Macaca fascicularis: one gene and its partners. The protein of the gene in region 1 purifies or fractionates together with the protein of each later gene. This does not show direct contact. Links are inferred from orthologs where the notes say so. Each region holds a gene or a part of one and is shown on either strand. Other genes may lie near its edges. The genes, in order: GNB1, CD81 and PFDN5.

Region 1 (3,568 bases):
TGGTGCACATCTGTAATCTACTCGGGAGGCTGAGGCAGGAGAATCGCTTGAACCCAGGGGGTGGAGGTTTCAGTGAGCTGAGATCACACCACTGCACTCCAGCCTGGGTGACAGAGGAGGACTCCATCTTAAAAAAAAAAAAAAGACAATATTAAAAATATGTGTGTGATGCAGCTAAAGCCATGCTTAGAGGGAAATTTAAAAATTTAAGTGATTGTATCTGAAAAGGAAGCAAACCAGTGGCCTACAAATCTACTTTAGGCAGCTGGAAAATTAAGAAGAAGGCAACTCCAAAGTAAGCAGAAGGCAGGAAAGAACCAAGAACAGAAATCAACAATAGCAGCATATCTTTCAAAGGACAAGGTTATACTTGTAATCTGGCCAAAATTAACTTATTTATCAGACTGCTTAATAGGCGTCAAAAGCAGTACTAGTGACTCCATGAACTGATTTCTTTGGCTGCATGTGAAGTGGGCGGAGTGTTACCAAAAAGTACTGGGGCCATAACATTTCTGAGAACAGATAATACAGCCAGAGAGGTAAAATATATTAGAATAGGACATCCTCTTTCAGCAAACGTATGCCTTTCATGATGAATTAGTGTCACAAGTAAACAAAATCTTGGTGAAATAGACTACCTAGCACTTACAGCCACAGGGCTCTATTCTGCCTCATTTGCAGAGACAGGGTCTCACTTTCACCCAGCCTGGAGTGCAGTAGTGCAATCATAGCTCCCTGCAGCCTCAACCACCCAGGCTTGAGCCATCCTCCCGAGGAGCTGGGACCACAGGTGTGCGCCACTGTGCGTGGCTAAGTTTTTCCTTTTTTGTAGAGAAGGGGTCTAAGTTTTGTTGTCCCAGCTGGTCTCGAACTCCTGGCTCCAAGCTATTCTCCTACCTTGGACTCCCAGAATGTTGTAATTACAGGCATGAGCCACCATGTCCAGCGCAAATCCACAGGTTCCTTACTGGTAAAGGCACGTCAGGCCTGTTTTTAGTTTCATTTTCAGAAGACTTCTGGCCATTACTGTGACTTTTATTTGAACCAGTCTCATTAATAATGATTGATAACGCCGGGCGCAGTGGCTGACGCCTATAATTCCAGCACTTTGGAAGGCTAAGGCAGGCGGATCATGAGGTCAGGAGTTCAAAACCAGCCTGGCTAACACGGTGAAACCCCATCTCTACTAAAAATGCAAAAAGAAATTAGACGGGCGTGGTGGCAGGTGCCTGTAGTCCCAGCTACTCAGGAGGCTGAGGCAGGAGAATGGCGTTAACCCGGGAGGCAGAGCTTGCACTGAGCCAAGATCATGCCAATACACTCTAGCCTGGGCGAAAGAGCAAGACTCCACCTCAAAGAAAAAAAATAATAATAATAATTAATAAATGACTGATAAAAGGTGAATATCCAAAGCATATAATGTACTCCAGCTAAACAGCTTGTGTCACTTGAAGGTTATGAACAAGGATGGGTACCTGTGTGTCCTGCCAGCTCACGACTCACGCGCACGTTCCCCTCACGAGTTTTCAGATTGTAAATGGAGCAAATGTTATCCAGGCCACCGCAGGCCACATAGTTCCCAGAAGGGGCGTATGCACAGGTCATGACCCAGGAGGAGCGCAGAGGGATGGCGTGGACCTAATGACAGAAACACAGATGATGCAAACACCTTTATGTTCAAAAACAACACTGACGCTAGGATTATCTCATCTCCAACTTTCATTGCATAGGAGGTAACAGAACAAAATAAGAGCCAAAATTATCTAGAGAGTAATTCCCATGAGTGGCCACTCAGGTGAAGCCTATTAATGAGAAGTCCAGTGCTGCACATGGGATTCAAATTCAATCCACACAATCCAGTTTTACTAAAGTCACGACTTATGATTAGGTGGGGACTTAATAGTAGTGCTGCCTACTCATCAAAACTACTTTATTAGGTGGGGTGCGGTCATTCACACCAGTAATCCCAGCACTTTGGGAGGCTAAATTGGGCAGATCACCTGAAGTCAGGAGTTCAAAACCAGCCTAGCCAACATGATGAAACTCCGTCTCTACTAAATATATCAAAATTAGCCGGGCATGATGGCGCATGCCTGTAGTCCCAGCTATTCGGGTGGCTGAGGCAGGAGAATCACTTGAACCTGGGAGGCAGAGGTTGCAGTGAGCTGAGATCATGTCACTGCATTCCAGCCTGGGCAACAGAGCGAGACTCCATCTCACAAGAAAACAAACAGGCCGGGCGCGGTGACTCACACCTGTAATCCTAGCACTTTGGGAGGCTGAGGCGGGTGGATCACCTGAGGTCAGGAATTTGAGACCAGCCTGGCCTCAAATTGGTGAAACCCCATCTGTGCTAAAATACAAAAATTAGCTGGGTATGGTGGTGGGCGCTTGTAATCCCAGCTACTCAAGGAGGCTGAAGCAGGAGAGTTGCTTGAACCAGGGAGGTGGAGGCTGCAGTGAGCAGAGATCACGCCACTGCACTCCAGCCAGGGCGATAAGAGCAACACTCTGTCTCAAACAAACAAACAAACAAAAAAAAACCCAAAAAAACCCATACATATTAGAAGGAAAACACTGCATTACCCTGTCAAATGGCTATGAACTTATTTGAAAACAAAACTTTTTTTTTTTCTTTTGAGATGGAGTTTCGCTCTTGTTGCCCAGGTTTGAGTGCAGTGGCGCAATCTAGGCTCACTTGCAACTTCTGCCTCCCGGGTTCAAGTGATTCTCCTGCTTCAGCCCCCTGAGTAGCTGGGATTACAGGCGCCTGCCACCACACCTGGCTAATTTTTTGTATTTTTAGTAGAGAATGAGGTTTCACCATGTTGGCTAGGCTGGTCTCAAACTACTGACCTCAGGTGATTCACCTGCTTCAGCCTCCCAAGTGCTGGAATTACAGGTGTGAGCCACCGCACCCGGCCGAAAACAAAATATTTTTACGGAATAACCGAAATGGACATTACTATAATCTATCCTGCCACATCTCTCCCAGTGTGTTAGATCTGCTGTAATGAATGTAACCATTTATACACATTTAGTATTCTTTAGTAAACTGAATAACATCTTTTACGTATATGTTGGGACCAATGACAATACTTTTTTTTTTTTTGAGACGGAGTCTCGCTCTGTTGCCCAGGCTGGAGGAGTGCAATGGCACCATCTCAGCTCACTGCAAGCTCCGCCTCCCAGGTTCACGCCATTCTCCTGCCTCAGCCTCCCGAGTAGCTGGGACTACAGGCACCCGCCACCGCGCCCGGCTAATTTGTTGTACTTTTGGTAAAGACAGGGTTTCACTTTGTTAGCCGGGATGGTCTCGATCTACTGACCTTGTGATCTGCCTGCCAGAGCCTCCCAAAGTGCTGGGATTACAGGCATAAGCCACCATGCCCAGCCAACAATACTTTTTATTCAAAACAGTACAATTTGGATTAAGTCTTGAAAATAACATACATTACACTTTAAAGTATGATGATCTCTCCTAAAAAACTAATAATTAAATGAAAAGTGATACTTCTGCACTCTATAAATAAAACATGAAACTTCCCAGACTCTGCTAAAACTGGAA
Region 2 (4,039 bases), on another chromosome or scaffold:
GGGGGGCTCCTTTCTGTGAAAGAGGTCAGGCTACCCCAGCTGCCTTCTCCCACAGGCAAGGCCTTTTTCCTCTCTAAAATGGAACTTTTAACAAGCGCCCCATCCAGACACACATTGTCAACCTCCTCCCCACCAGCCTCCCCTGAGCCCACGGGACTGCACTGAGTCCCTCTGGGCCCTGCAGGGTTCCTGCAGCCCCTTCCCCACTGCACATCCTGCCTGCCTGGGCTGGGTTCTCTGAGGCAGGGGTCCCTTTGGACCCTTGGCCAACCCCCACACCCTGAGCCCTTCCTGTACCAAGCCCCCTGTCAACACTCAGGCATGTCAGTGAATCCACCAACAACGCCAGGAGGCAGGCTCATTGAGGGCCCCCACTGCAGACGGGGGAGGCCAAGGCCCAGGACCAGGGCAGTGTGGTGGGGACTCCACTGAGGGAGGCCCAAGCCCATGGCACTGTGCTCTCAGCCACACACCCTGCGACACCACGGTGGAGGGGGGTCCACCAGGGTGGTGCCCACCAACCTCACCTCACCCAGCCTGGCATTCCTGGCTACAACAGAGCCCCAGTGGATGGGTGGGTCCACAGTGACTGTGAACGGACTCAGTTCTCAATGCTTTGCGGGGAGCGGGCCCTGGGGAGAGGAGTGGTGAGGCCTTGGAGACATTTCCTCGAGCCTTAATAACAAGCATCCCTGGGATGCGTCAGGTCTCCACCCCAGCTGCCTGGGAAACTTCCAGGCCCGCCGTGGCGACACTCCCGGGGGACTGCCAGGGACACCTCTCAGCCTGGGCAGGCAGGAGGGACTCACCCAGCGGTGACCCAGCGGTGACGCATCGTCCAGAGAGCAAAAATCCACCTCCAGAGAAGTCCCCTTCCCTGACTCCCCTTCAGCCCCCGCCCCCAGGCCCACACTCTCCTCATCAGGGGATGGGGCTCCAGGGGCCGGCAGAGGGACATCCTGTGTCCCGTGCCTCTCCCACATGCCTGGGCTGAAGCAGGCCACCACTAAGCAACGGCCGAGGTGCCAGGGCTGTGCCTGGGGAGGGCAAGCCCCTCCCAGATGGCCTCGCTGCCCCCACTGCCAGGGCAGAGCCAAAGGCTACAGTGACTCCCACCAGTGTCCCAAGCAGACTGTGCAGAACAGTCGGTCTTGGGGAAGGTGGGATGTGACCGCCCCACTCCTCTCCCAGCTGAGAGTTCAGTTCAGCCTCTGTCCTTCCCCGTCCAAACAATCTCCCTGCCCCAGATCCGCACTGGGATCCTCACAGTCCAGATGGGAAACAGATGTCTCTGGTCCCACACACTGGCTCCGGGGCCATTTTAAAAGTTTGCCCTCCCTGCCTCAACTTGAGAAACACTCGCTCCACTGGGACATCAGCCGAGTCTTCCACGAGAAGGGGGTGACAGCCTGGGGGGACACGGGGAGGGGCTTGCGGTGTCTGCCCAGGGGCGTGGCCGCGGGGAGGTCACCATCATGGACACCCACTCCAGTCCTTCCAGGCCAAGAAGGGATTTCCACCCCCTCCCCAATTCCAACACTGACAGGAAATGGAAACAAAAGGCGAAAGCCCATCAGTCACTTCCCAGCAGCAAAGACTGCGGTCAGGAGAAAGCCATTCTCAGCAGGAGACCCTCCTCCACCCACGTTGGCACCCAAAGATGCCCAGCGTGGGGGCCCCTCTTTCCAAAGCAGCGGCCCCACTCCCAGACCCTGCCATCCACTCCAGGCCCCTGGTGCCACTCTCTTCCTTGTGCCAACTCAGAACCGCGGGACCCCACTCCTGCAAGGCCTCCAGAGCCCTTCTGGGAGGAGGCCTAGGCTGGAACGTGTCTGGGTGAGGAGAGGGAGATCGGCCCCCAGACAGGACAGCCAGGGTGCGCGCACCCCAGCTTTTGGGCCATCCCAGCGGTGACATCCTTTTAGGCGCGACCCCCGGGAAGGTCCCGGGTGGTGACAGCAGACTGGCGAGTTAGCTGGGCTGGGGAGAGAGTGAGGCGATCGCCCCCAACCTCGGGCAAAGTGTGCGCCCCCGCCCCACCATCCAGGGGCGGCGGCCCTTGATGAGCTCATGGGGGCGGGGCGCCAGGAGTCCCGCCCGCGAGCCCCCCCTTCGTCCCCGCGAAGCAGCAGTCCGGAATCCGCGGCCAGGGACCCGCGCAGGCCCCTCCTCAGCTGAGGGGCGGCCGGGTACTCGGGTCCCGGCCCGCGCCCACCGCACCCATCACTATCACTTAGCGGGAACTGCCCGGCGGCCCCCAGAAGCCCCGGCCCGGCCGCAGAGCTGGGCCCCCGCGCACAGAGGCCCCGAAACTCGGCTCGCAGCCCTCAGCCCCAAAGTTGGGGGGCGCGGCGGCCCCGGGCGACCCCCCACCCCGCTCCTGGAGCCCACAGGTGGCCCCACAACTTCGCGGCCCGCGCTGCGCCCGCGGGGCCTAGCACGCGGCCGCGGGACCTGCCCGAGGTGGGGTGTGTGCCCGTCCCCTCCCGCCCTGGCCCCCGGCCCAGCCCTTACCCAGAAGACGAAATTGAAGACGAAGAGCAGGTACTTGATGCACTTGGTACACCCCTCCACTCCCATGGCGACGCGGGCGGCGGGCGGCCTGCGGGGCGCGGGCCGGTCCTGGGAGGCGGGCGGGCCGGCGCGGGGCCTGGCGGGCAGCCGGCAAGGGGGCCTGGCGGGCCTAGGGGCCTCGGTGCGAAGAACGGGGCGCGGGGGCGCAGGGGCGCGGGGGGCGCGGGGCGCCGGAGGCCTGGCCGGATGCGCGGTGGGGTCGCCGCTATCTCCGCCGCTGCGCGCTCGCTCTGTGGCCGGGCGCGCGCCGCGCTCAGCACCACTTATAGGACGCCTCGGTCCCGCCCCCCGTAGGCCCCGCCCCGGCCAGCTCGCGCCCCGCCTCCGGCCCCGCCTCCCGTCGCCAGGGCGCGCATCGGAGGGGTATGGGGGCGCTGCACCTACCCCCAACTTGGCGCGTTTCGGCCAGGACCTCAGGGCCCGGGTGCACCGTGCTGGGCGCGGGAGGCGTCCCTAAGCTGCTGTCGCGCTCCGAGCCCCCGAGGGGGTGGCAGCAGGGCCGCGCCTGAGGACGGGCATGCAGCGTCTACCCAGGAGTGCAGGCCCGGTGCCGGGAGAACAACCTATTCCTCCCTCCCTCAAGCACCTTGGACAATCTGGGAGGGCTCCCCAAAGGAGGTGAGCACCTTGGACAATCTGGGAGGGCTCCCTAAAGGAGGTGATGCCACAGTGGTTGGCTTTGCAGAGACAGGAGGGTTTGCTCACATTGCTCTCCGGGGCTGGAACGGGGCAGGCATGAGGCCCCCTAGTCAGTGTTGGCCTCAAGTACAGGCAACCAATCCCTGTCCCATGGAAGGGAAGAATTGCTGACCCATGCTGCAGGAGTCTGCATCTGAAAAGGTCACTGGGCCCTGAGAGGGCAGCTCCCAGACCAGTGTGAAGTGTCCAGGAGGCCAGAGCCACCTATAAGAGAACCTCCAGATATTGCATCTATTTCATCCACATCCTGGTTGTGTCGTGCCCCAGGGATGCCAGCCTCACGCTGTGGCTCTTCCTGTAGGTGTGGGGCCAGGCCCGCTGCACTTACTGCTTTGGGCTAATGATTCAGAGTGAGGGGTGCTTCCTGCCCAGAGGAAGGAGTGAAGGCCTTCGCAGGAGATGACACACCGACAAAGGTTTCCCATGTCCTCTCCAAGAAAATTGATGGACAACAGGGCTGCGTCGTGGGCGGGAGCTTACCTGGGAACCATGTGGAACCAGGTCCGGAGAACCGTGCTCTAGCTAGCTCGTCTTAGCAAATGTCGTCCAATCCAGTGCTAACTGATAGAACCTTCTGCAATGATGGGAATGTTCTGTAGCTGGATAACCCCTGGCACAAATGACTACTGGGTACTGGAAATGTGGCCACAAGGAACCGAATTTTTCATTGCGTTTCATTGTAATTTAAATTCACGGCCGGGCGCGGTGGCTCACGCCTGTAATCCCAGCACTTTGGGAGGCCGAGGCGGGCGGATCACAAGGTCAG
Region 3 (4,346 bases), on another chromosome or scaffold:
CCATCTGTTTGGTTAGAAAATCTATCTTCCTCTTGAAAAAGTCCTTGGCATCCTCAGCTGTCTACAAGATCAGAGGTGAATGAGGGGCTAAAAGGAGACTCCCTCTGGCCATGTTGCACTCTAGAACTTCCCCTAAATTTCCCTTCCCTGTTCAGAGGGGCATCCACATGCTCTCACTCACCTTCTCTACATAGTACCCAGTTCCCACATCGATGAGCACATGTTCCACATCATGCAGCTTCCCAGGGACATACATCTGAGAAGCAAGTATTAAGGCAAAAACTAGCCCAGCATGAGCCATGATTCCGCCAGCCAGTCTGCTTGGCCTCCAAAGACCCTTTTCCAAAAAGCTTCAAGGCATAAGGACTGAATAATCTGGAGGCCTTAGAACAATAACTCCAAATGGAAAGAAGACAGAGAAGTTGGTTCTTTAAGGAGAAAATGATGTATGCTGGAACACCCTTTTGTTCTGCCTCATCCCATCTCTCACCCTCTAAGCAGTTCTTGCAATTCTTCTCATTAGCCCCATCAGAAAGACTAGATATAATGTTTTCCTACTGTTGTAGAGTACTACAAGTGGAAAGCCAGCCTCATTTCCCTTAACACCCTCAATCATGAAGTAGATAATTCCTACCGAAGTTCATTTTTTTTTTGTTTGTTGAGACAGAGTCTCGCTCTGTCGCCCAGGCTGGAGTGCAGTGGCGCGCTATTGGCTCACTGCAACCTCCGCCTCCCGGGTTAAAGTGATTCTTCTGTCTCAGCCTCCGGAGTGGTTGGGATCACAAGTGTGTGCCACCACGCCCGGCTAATTTTTGTATATTTAGTAGAGACGGGGATTCACCATGTTGGCCAGACTGATCTTGAACTCCTGACCTCAGGTGATCTGCCAGCCTTGGCTCCCAAAGTGCTGGGGATTACAGGCGTGAGCAACCGTGCCTGGCTAATTTTTTTTTTTTTTTTTTTTTTTTGAGACGGAGTCTCGCTCTGTAGCCCAGGCTGGAGTGCAGTGGCCTGATCTCAGCTCACTGCAAGCTCCGCCTCCCGGGTTCACGCCATTCTCCAGCCTCAGCCTCCCGAGTAGCTGGGACTACAGGCGCTGCCACCTCGCCCGGCTATTTTTTGTATTTCTTAGTAGAGACGGGGTTTCACCGTGTTAGCCAGGATGGTCTCGATCTCCTGACCTCGTGATCCGCCCATCTCGGCCTCCCAAAGTGCTGGGATTACAGGCTTGAGCCACCGCGCCCGGCCTAATTTTTTTTTTAACCATTCCCTACTACACTACTATTCCTGTGCTCCTTTTAGCCTGTCAGTTCTCAGACTACAGATTAAAGGTGCCCTACTGCCATAACTTGTTCATTCAAGTAAAACACTGAACAAGTGGACACAATCCAGGTTTCTTAGTGACAGTTTAGAAATGAGCCACAATTAACAGAGCCAACCTCCCTGTTCCTATATCCTCCTATTTTTGTCTATTACCTATATCTTCTAAGATATTAGCAAAGTGTAAACCACCAGCTTTATCTCCATATTAATGTTCTCAAATAGCAAAGGGAAATATTACATCTCAACTATACATACTCCTTGGTGTTCACAAGGCATTAGCTGGATGTTGGTGTGAAGTTAGATAAAAGAGCTACAAAGTGTGTAATAAGAGTACTCTTGGTCGGGGGCAGTGGCTCACGCCTGTAATCCTAGCACTTTGGGAGGCCAAGGCAGGCAGATCACGAGGTCAGGAGTTCGAGACTAGCCTGGCCAATATGGTGAAACTCCATCTCTACTAATAATACAAAAATTAGCCAGTCGTGGTGGCGCGTGCCTGCGGTCCCAGCTACTCAGGAGACTGAGGCAGAAGAATCTCTTGAACCCAGGAGGCGGAGGTTACAGTGAGCCGAGATCGCACCACTGCACTCCAGTCTGGGCGACAGAGCAAGATTCCGTCTTTAAAAAAAAAAAAGGGTGTTATCAAAATCATTGTGGGGAGAGGATAATCTGAAGTACTGAAGTAATCAAAACAATCCCCCTCCCTGCTTTTTGGAGGAGTGAGGGAGAAAGGGAGAAGGCAGCAGGTAGCCGTTCCTGTGGAAAGGATACAGAACTCGTCAGTGGGACAAGTAATTCTTTCCCTGTGAAAGCAATGAAGACAAACACCTGGGGAAGGTTAGTGGCTCCAATGTAAGACGTTAAAGAGAGTTCCAAGAGGGCACAGCACCCACAGACAGTGTGAAAAGAACGGAAACAGGGGCAATAGAAGCAGAGGAACGTCTTGTACATTTCAATTCTAGGTAGGCAACATGCAAAGGGTTCATGAAGCGGTATACGATATGTAATGGATTTTCTCGTTTCAGGTAAGAAAAACTGGATTAGGAGGTGGGACGAGAGAAGCAGGCTTGCCACTTTAGGTTGCCCTCACCCCCCTACCCCATACCCTCGTTGCTCTTGTTCAGCACGTTCAGACAGTCCTTGGCTTCCACATACTTGGTCTGTACCACTTTGAGCTGGGCAATGGACGTGGACAAGAACTCCACTTCCTACAGAGGACGGGTATAGCGGGTCAATGAGAGGGCTATGGGGAAAAGGGAGAGCGGCCGGGGAGGGGGCGGGTCCTGGGACCGGATAGAGGTTTCGCCTGGGCAAGGTAGGCTCCCAACTTGGGACCGGGCGCAAGGAAGTACGCGTGGGCAAGGGGGATGTAGAGCGGGAAAGAGGTGCCTATGGGGCCCGTCACTACCTGGTCCAGCTGGTTCTTGAGCATTTCTAGCTGCGGCAGATTCAGCTCCGTGATGTTAATAGACTGCGCCATGTTGGGAAGGAGGACTAACGAAGAGGAAGTCCCTCGGCGAGCAACGCTCTAGCCGTCCTCTGCGCGTCTCGATGGCGCCAGGAGGCCTCGCTGCGCCATACAGCTCTATGATCCTCCGTCCCGGAAGGGAAGGAGGGGCTTGAATTTCTCAGAGGCTGATCTGTCAGTTATTTTCATAAAATATTCTAAGCCTAGTACAGTAAAGTAGCAGCAAACAGGACTCCTGCCCATAGGGAACTGCAAAATCTTAAAGTTCTCACGATACAACCACGATATTACAAAGTAGTGTATGCTACTCCACGTGGGTGGTATAAGCTACTAGATAGCAGGCTGGGTTGCTATGGTGACGGCTCCTGGGGCCTCGTCCTGCCCCTCTCTACCCCACCTGCTTGTGCTGCCTGCTGGTACCCCGCCAGGTCCGATTTCAAATATTCCTCCCCGCACAGCAGGGAAATGGCAGGGAAATTCTTTATTTTTTATTTTATTTTTTTTTTTTTGAGACGGAGTCTGGCTCTGTCGCCCGGGCTGGAGTGCAGTGGCCGGATCTCAGCTCACTGCAAGCTCCGCCCCCCGGGTTTACGCCATTCTCCTGCCTCAGCCTCCCGAGTAGCTGGGACTACAGGCGCCCGCCGCCTCGCCCGGCTAGTTTTTTGTATTTTTTAGTAGAGACGGGGTTTCACCGTGTTCGCCAGGATGGTCTCGATCTCCTGACCTAGTGATCCGCCCGTCTCGGCCTCCCAAAGTGCTGGGATTACAGGCTTGAGCCACCGCGCCCGGCCATGGCAGGGAAATTCTAAACTATTTTTCCCAGATGGCCTCTGAGGCCGAAAGGCAGGGAAAAAAAAACAAATAACAACAACAAAAAAATCCCTTGTCAGACCGTTCTGAATTGTTCTTGAAAAAATCAGGCATGGCCGGGCGCGGTGGCTCAAGCCTGTAATCCCAGCACTTTGGGAGGCCGAGACGGGCGGATCATGAGGTCAGGAGATCGAGACCATCCTGGCTAACACGGTGAAACCCCGTCTCTACTAAAAAATACAAAAAACTAGCCGGGCGAAGTGGCGGGCGCCTGTAGTCCCAGCTACTTGGGAGGCTGAGGCAGGAGAATGGCGTGTACCCGGGAGGCGGAGCTTGCAGTGAGCTGAGATCCGGCCACTGCACTCCAGCCTGGGCGACAGAGCATGACTCCGTCTCAAAAAAAAAAAAAAAAAAAAAAAAAATCAGGCATTAGATTGAAAGCTTGTTGAAGGCAGGAACCAACCATGTTCTCATCACTGAACTAATTCTTCCCCTCTAGCTATGACCATCTTCCCCCAGCCGGAAGTAGGCTGACACCTAGTAGGATCTGAAAAAGGGTTTATAACCCGTTGCCAGTGAGTTGGTGGGAGAACAGCAAGGAAGCACCATTGTCAACACATAGAGCACAAATTAATCAATAAAATGTTTTGGCCAGGCATGGTGGCTCATTCCTGCAATCCCAGCACTTTGGGAGGCCGAGAAGGGCAGATCACTTGAGCCCAGGAGTTTGAGGCCAGCCTGGGCAACA

The links.
Region 2: the proteins of GNB1 (region 1) and CD81 purify together in Homo sapiens (co-immunoprecipitation; 4 studies listed by BioGRID and IntAct, with this or other methods). This does not show direct contact. The link is inferred for Macaca fascicularis from reciprocal best matches to the Homo sapiens genes GNB1 and CD81.
Region 3: the proteins of GNB1 (region 1) and PFDN5 purify together in Homo sapiens (co-immunoprecipitation; 3 studies listed by BioGRID and IntAct, with this or other methods). This does not show direct contact. The link is inferred for Macaca fascicularis from reciprocal best matches to the Homo sapiens genes GNB1 and PFDN5.

Annotation. Positions count from the first base shown.
Region 1 is NC_088375.1:232,992,524-232,996,091, reverse strand, and holds part of GNB1 (guanine nucleotide-binding protein G(I)/G(S)/G(T) subunit beta-1), read right to left. Parts: intron 1,639-3,568; coding exon 1,476-1,638; intron 1-1,475. UniProt on the Homo sapiens protein: Guanine nucleotide-binding proteins (G proteins) are involved as a modulator or transducer in various transmembrane signaling systems.
Region 2 is NC_088388.1:2,297,067-2,301,105, reverse strand, and holds the start of CD81 (CD81 antigen), read right to left. Parts: upstream 2,813-4,039; 5' UTR 2,581-2,812; coding exon 2,515-2,580; intron 1-2,514. UniProt on the Homo sapiens protein: Structural component of specialized membrane microdomains known as tetraspanin-enriched microdomains (TERMs), which act as platforms for receptor clustering and signaling.
Region 3 is NC_088385.1:60,094,394-60,098,739, reverse strand, and holds the start of PFDN5 (prefoldin subunit 5), read right to left. Parts: upstream 2,826-4,346; 5' UTR 2,801-2,825; coding exon 2,729-2,800; intron 2,529-2,728; coding exon 2,426-2,528; intron 2,124-2,425; coding exon 2,092-2,123; intron 257-2,091; coding exon 182-256; intron 62-181; coding exon 1-61. UniProt on the Homo sapiens protein: Binds specifically to cytosolic chaperonin (c-CPN) and transfers target proteins to it. Binds to nascent polypeptide chain and promotes folding in an environment in which there are many competing pathways for nonnative proteins.